Ovis aries: one gene and its partner. The protein of the gene in region 2 purifies or fractionates together with the protein of the main gene of each other region. This does not show direct contact. Links are inferred from orthologs where the notes say so. Each region holds a gene or a part of one and is shown on either strand. Other genes may lie near its edges.

Region 1 (3,652 bases), on a different chromosome or scaffold from region 2:
GATACTCAAAACACACAAACCCCCGAACTTCACCAGTTTGTTTCTAGCTCAGTTTAAAAGCCCTGTGTCCAGTTATAGCAACCACCGTAATTTGTGTACAATAACGATACAACCATTATCTGAATCACTGGACTGAGAAGCAGCCTGCAAATTATACAACTATCGTGAATGAGAACATGTTCCCATTTTCCTCTGTGGCAAAAGGCATTCTGCTTTGCATACTGACGCTTCTCAGCTTCATTTTTCACTGCGTTAAAGGTAAGGTTTCCAGTTTGAATCCTTCCTCACATAAAACTCATTTACAACAAGCTTGAATTTCTTATTTTATTAAAACTCATTATCTTATTTATCTCAGAAAATAAACGCACATCAACCTACTTTCTAACCTACCATTTATTTATAAATGAGATTTTTAAAGTAAGAGGATGGAAAACTTGTTGGTGGTGTGGAAAGAAACCTACATATTTGGTGTTAGAGTGTTATGAATAAGAATAATTCAGAGTTGTAATTTTAGATCCTAAAACTTTTCTAGGGACTTCCCCACTGGTCCAGTGGCTAAGACTCTGTGCTCCCAATGGAGGGGTCCTGGGTTCAATCCCTGGTCAGGGAACTAAGAGCCTACATGCTATAATTAAGACCCAGTGCAAGCAAATAAAATAAAGATATTAAAAAACAAATCTTCTAGCCTATCAACTGCAACAAACAATGACAGAATGCTGTTCAGATTTTTTAAAGAGACAGCACTTCAGCATTTTATTTTTTCTGAATATTATCTAATTATAGGGTTGTGATAAGAGAATTTACAGGGAACACTGCTGCACCAAGGACTGAATAAGTTAAAACATTCTATAATAATAATCTAAAGGAAACTGAAAAAATAGAGATGGAGGTGCAATTGAGGCTATCCCCAAAGATGCCGTTTTTCTCTAATTGAGCACATGGTATTTTTTGTTTACATTAAAAACACCACACGTATGAGCCCACACACTCTGGAGCCTATGCTCTATAACAAGAGCAGCTCTGAGTGCCACAATCAGACAAGAGTCCATGCACCGCAGTGAAGACCCAGCACAGCCAAAAAATAAACAAAACAAATACCATATGTAATATAAAGCTAGGGGTAAACTATACTGGCAGAATGGAAAGGACCACACATCTCAGGGTCTCATTCTGTCAAGGTACCCTTTGGTGAAGAGACAAGTTCCAGATCTAATGGAAAAATTATACACTTTGATGTTTTGGAATTTTATGTCGCCTGAAACTCTCCTTACCAGTGCCATTTGTATAGAGAGAAATCACTAACGATTTTATGTACAATTTATACCTTGTTGAGGAAGCTCTTCAGAACACTTGCAGCTTTTACAGATAAAGAACGCGGTATGCGAATTTGTTTTTCCAAAATAACTAGGAAGATAAAATATACAGCATTATTATAATTAACTTTTACAGGGGTTTCATCTTTATATTTTTATTATAAGATATTTAAGGCATTCCTGCAGGAAAAAATAGACATTACAAACACTATCTAAGCATCTTGTGTACCTTTCCAGTCCCAGACCTTTCCTTCCTACTCAGACAGCCTCTACTCTGAACAGTTTTGATCACTACATGCGTAGGTTTTATTCTTTGACTACCTTACTGTGTCTGTTGCCTTATCTGTAAAACTGGAATAAAAAGAATACCTGATTCATAGGGGTGTTGCTGTTGTTTTCTATTCAGTTGCTAAGTCGTGTCCGACTCTTTTGAATCCCCATAGACTGCAGCCAGGCTCCTCTGTCCATGGGATTATTCAGGCAAGAATACTGGAGTGGGTTGCCATGCCCTCCTCCAGGGGGTCTTCCTGACCCAGGGATGGAACCTGCATCTCCTGCATCGGCAGGCAGATTCTTTACCACTGAGCCACCAAGGAAGCCCTCATAGGAGGGTTATAAGGCTTAAACAGATTAGTATCTGTAAAATGTGTGGCATGCATTACTATATTCAATTGTATTAGACTTTGCCAAATTATTTTCCAAAGTTGTCATGTCAGTTTTCACTCCATCCACCAGAGTTCCAGTTGCTTCATATCCTCACCAGCACTGTTATTAACCCTTACTAGTACTGGTGTTGTCAGACTTTAAAATTTTTGCCAAATGTGTAAGTATGAGATGGAAGCCCATTAATTTTTAATGTGCACACCCCTAATTAAGGAGGTTTAAAGTCTTTCGAGGTTTTCACAGCAAGCTAGATTTCCTATTACATGAAATATCTATTCATTTTCTGTGATGGCCTTAGTCATTAAATGTAGAATTTTATGGCAATTTTTACACTTCTCTGGACGGTGTGTTTGGGGTCCTTGTGCTTGTCTGCTTGTTTCTGTTCTGTTCAGTTCTTTGTATTTCCTTCACCTTTTGACCCTTTTTATCTCCTTAAACTCTGCCTTTTCCTATTACTGCTCTTGGATTTATGCACTCAGCATTGTAGCACAGGTGAAACGACTGCCCTCTCCAGCCACACAGTTCCTTCCTCCAATCTCTGTGATGTACAATCTGAAGTCACCTCGTTGCTGTTTCTGAGTATGAGCAGGCAACTGGCAAATGGGACCAAAAACTAAGCAGTAGTAATGATAGATCAAAACAACAAAAACAAACTCAGAGCCTCATGTGTTCAGGGGTATACTGTCCAGATTATTCTTCCTCTTTCTTACTAGAAAGTAATAACTATAGCTGTCTTCATTCATGCCTTAGGATGGGTTATTCACAGAGACTCTGTAAAATACTGCAAATTACCTTGAAAAAGATAATCCTCTGTGTTTTGATCAGGGTTATCGGAGCTCCCAACAATATCAAATGGAGACCTTCCTGCCATCATCTCAAACATTAGTACTCCAAGAGCCCACCAGTCGACACTGAAACCTTCAAAATGAAATTTTAAAGCAATAAATTATCCATTCCACATTCTAAAATGTCAGTAATTTGAGATTAATTTTATTACATAATTAAAAAAATAGACATAATGAAAAAGTAAACTTGAAATACATTATAATGATCATGGCAGGCATCGAGGATTACAAGAACATTTCACTTATCAAAGAAGGGAGGTAACTAAACGATAACTTTAAAATATAGAAAATGAAACACAAGTTTCTCTTCCCGTTGGTTACACTAAGCTGCAGAGACTAATATGTCTATGCCAAGTTATACAATTATCCTGCACAGTTTGTCCCACCAAATATGTTTGTAATTATAGACTCAACAGCCTGCCTCTAATACTTTGTTTTGAGGACATAATTAAATTGTATTTGAAATAACCTTGCTAGATGTGAAACTTGATCTTCTGCTACCTGATTAAAGATCCTGAAAGGACTTTGGAACCAGATTATAAGCAGCTATCAGAAATAGCCATCCTCCCTTACAACTGCTGAAATCAAAGGGCCAGAACCCAAAGGGGCAAATGTTTTTTTAAGATAAACACAACTTCTGGTTTTTGAAAGCAGGGAATCTTTCCTCCATCTTTCAGATTCCTGGGGGAAATACCCCAGGAAATCTGAACAATCTTACAGAAGTTTATGATTCTGAAATTACCTGGTTGATTAAATCCCAACTCTGCCACTTTCCTGCTACATGACCTTGGGCAAGTTATTTAACGTTTTTGTCTACCAGTTTCCCTGTTT
Region 2 (3,652 bases):
ATTGAACCCAGGTCTCCTTCTGCACTGCAGGCAGATTCTTTACCACTAAGCCACCAGGGAAGCCCGCCAGTTTCCTTTGTCCATGGGATTCTCCAGGCAAGAGTCCTGGAGTGGGTAGACATTAAATACACCCGCAATATCGTCTGTTGCATCTATTTCTAAAACTTATTTATCACCTGAAACAAATTTGCCACTAAACAATAACACTATATCCACCTCTGTCTGATTTTCTGATAATCTCTTTCTGTCTATGAATTTGCCCATTTTAGATAAATCATACAATAGGAGTACGCATTACAAAGTAACTTCGGTGTTCTTGGGTATGTAGGAATCAGATATTCCCTGAAAGAGATTTTTCAGCTGTCAGGTGGATTCTTTTGAATGAAAAATCAATATTAATTCATCTAAAAACTTTCTAGATGGCTAGTTGAGTGAGTCCAAGCAGGTAATGTATCTTAACTGAAGAAGCTATGGCTGTTCAGGGATAGTATTGGTTGACTCTTTGATTGCCATTCTCTAGTCTAGCCGTTGAACGCACAGCTTCAACCTAAGTCCTTTCCGTGCTTCTGCTTTAATGTGAAGTATGCCATTTGTGCTCTTTCTACCCATTAAGATTGTTCAAGTATGACTTCCTAATTTGCTTACCCTCTTGGGTCCCTGAAGTACTTTTCTAGGTTGGCACTTCATTTTTATGTTATAGTAGCTATTTATGTCACTCCCTCTATTTTAGGTGTTTTTAAAAAGTTCATTGTGGACTCATATGTCTCTTTGCTCTTTTTCCTACCTGTTCCCAGCATCACTTGATGTACATAGTACACAGTACTCAAAAAGTAAAGGTGAATTTTGTTTCTTAACTGTAGTAAATGGCTTATATGATCTCATTTTTGTGGGGTTTTTTTCTTTCTTGCTGTGTTAACCTTAAATTTTATTGGATTAAATAGTGAGATACTGTCCCAGAATTTTTTCTTTTTGCATTAAAACTGTATTAAATAAAGTTAAAGTGACTAGAATTTGGAAATACCTTTCACATGCATATATTTTGATGGTGGCTTGGATGGGATTGGGTCTGCTTGTCAGAAGCATAGTAATAAGTGGAACTCCAACAAGTTTCACTAGTTGCACAGTTGCTGGATTACAAAATTTAAAAAGGAGTTTCATTAGTAACACCTGTTTTCAGTGCCTAAAGCATTGCAGTGCCAAGCATTCAGTGTCTAATAGTGTCTAGTAGTGATAACTAAAGAAATGACTGAGATTTAACTATGTCATTTCTAGAATCTGTTTTTGGACTTGTTTAGTTTATTTCAGACTTTTTTTTCATGATACATTATGTGAATTCTTGTAGGTTGGCAAAAGCAGCTTTTGATGATGCAATTGCAGAACTGGACACGCTGAGTGAAGAAAGCTATAAGGACTCTACACTTATCATGCAGTTGTTACGTGATAATCTGACACTATGGACTTCAGACATGCAGGGTGATGGTAAGGAGACTGAAGTTAAAATGTGTCTCTTTCAGTTGTTGGATCTATTTACTCATAGAAAATTGGGATTTCTTTACATTATGCTATAACTTAGACTCAGCCTACCCTCCAAACTATCAAATTTTAATTATTACCTTTACAGGAAATGGTATCAAAGTACAGCCTTACATTTTGGTCTGTAAGATAATAATGTAAAAGGCCTGTTTTGTTAATAATCAAAGATTTAAAGATTTACCTGTCATAACATGGGCTAAACTTAGTTTTCTGTTCTGTCAGTTTTGAAAGATGGAGAGGAAGCAGTTCATATTACCATTCCTCAGATTCAATTTTAGGGATCTAAGGTTAATTATATTTTACTGTTGTTGTCACTGTTTTGGCTGAGTGGCAATCCTCATTTTAAAACTTAGATGGTTATAAGTAGATATTTATGGTATCTTTTCTGTGTGAAAATCTTTTATCTAAAAAAAGACTAATTTCCCTCTGTATTCTGTACAACAGATGAAACACCCTGCTCATATAGATCCTTATTTAAGAGATCTGATATAGTCTCTTTGTTTTCTAGAAGTTGCAGTTGTAAATAGTTACTAGAGCATTTTATAAAATTTAATCTTGTGGTTAGGAGTAGGGTAGGTGCTTAATGATTATTCCAGATATCTGTAAGGGACCAAATTTGTCACATTTCTTGATTTTAAAGAATATTTTATTCTACTCATTTCTAAAGAATTGTTTTTACCCATGATAGATCATTGAAAGGGTGGGGGAACTGCACGGGGAGATGGACACAAACTAGTGTGACATGATAATTATAAGAGTGTTTGTAACTGGCTCTGGTGATACAGGGAGTGGAAACAACATTTGCCATTTTTAGTTACAGATCCTTTAAAAGTGTATTACCCAAACTGAAGCATGTTTTGTATTCCTTGAGGCTAGATGTAATTTCTCTTGGTCAGACCAACATATATTGTATTTGGAAACATAACTTTTTAAAGATGTCTCTGAAAATGGATGTCAGGGAAATGTAGATTGGCACTGAAAGGACAGTCAGATTTTAGAATTATCTTATCTTACGGTCAGTGAGAGTTAGGGGGGACTGCTGCATGCAGTAGCTCTGTGAACCATTTAGAACTTGACTAGCTTTGGATTGAGATTTGTGGTGCATGTGACTTACTTGCGCACTTCACCAACAAAGCCAGATGGAGTCACAGGTTACTTTTCGTCAGCACAGCACTGCAGGCAACCACTATCTGTGGGACTCAAAACCAACTAAACCATCTCTGAACTAATGACTGGGGTTCCTTCCAGCTTTAAATTCTATTGTATTCTAACAATAACTACTAAGAAGAATGGCCAGATAGCTGTGGACTCTTCATAGTCACCCCCAGCTCAGAGAAGACTAATATCTCTCTGCCTGTTTGAGGGGATAAAAGGAAAAAGCATGTGGAGAGTTTGGTAAGCGGTATTGACCTAAAGTAAGCTATACCTCTTTGATCTCTCGGGATATTTTTTGAGGGTGAAAAATACCACCAACAACAAAGGTGATTTTGAAAAGTGGGTGGTTTTTTTGGACACATTATTTGGTACAGATGTCACCTTCTATAAAGTTGCTAGATTCCAAAAATAAAAAAAAATAGTCTGATTTTCTGTTACCACTCATAACCAAGAATCGATTAAGGTAGATTGTGATTCCATTTATACAGAATCAAAGATACTCTTTTTCTTGGTTATCAAGCATGTTTTATTAAATGGATTATTTAAAAATAAAATATCTTTAAATTTACTATGTTTTCATAGTTGGGAATGTTCTTTGTACAAAATGTTTAATTACACTTTAGGGTAGATTTCTCTTTAATCTTAAACACTTAAACTAGTGAAATTCAGTTGCATCAATTCCTTATGGTTTCATAGATTGACCAATTAATTAAATTTCATTGAGACAGATAATTTTCCTTTTAAGAGGTGTGTTACAAAATATTTGGAATTAGGAAACATAGTTTATCTTGAAAAATTCAAGTGGTCTGTTGAAATCTTAGCAAAATAAACAAGCTGTCTGAAATTACAAATTGTTGACACTAGAAAATTATTTGCCAGTTTTGCTAAAAGGTGTAAGGTATTACATGTTAAGTTGGTTTTGTGATTTAGAATCAATGCTGAATGAGAAGAATTTGGGTTATGA

The links. Proteins that work in one complex are often made in the same cells at the same time.
Region 1: the proteins of YWHAE (region 2) and PRKCI purify together in Homo sapiens (affinity purification with mass spectrometry; 4 studies listed by BioGRID and IntAct, with this or other methods). This does not show direct contact. The link is inferred for Ovis aries from reciprocal best matches to the Homo sapiens genes YWHAE and PRKCI.

The regions. Positions count from the first base shown.
Region 1 is NC_056054.1:217,783,052-217,786,703, forward strand, and holds part of PRKCI (protein kinase C iota type), read right to left. Parts: intron 2,895-3,652; coding exon 2,769-2,894; intron 1,405-2,768; coding exon 1,325-1,404; intron 1-1,324.
Region 2 is NC_056064.1:22,410,808-22,414,459, reverse strand, and holds part of YWHAE (14-3-3 protein epsilon), read left to right. Parts: intron 1-1,342; coding exon 1,343-1,568; 3' UTR 1,569-3,652. UniProt on the Homo sapiens protein: Adapter protein implicated in the regulation of a large spectrum of both general and specialized signaling pathways. Binds to a large number of partners, usually by recognition of a phosphoserine or phosphothreonine motif.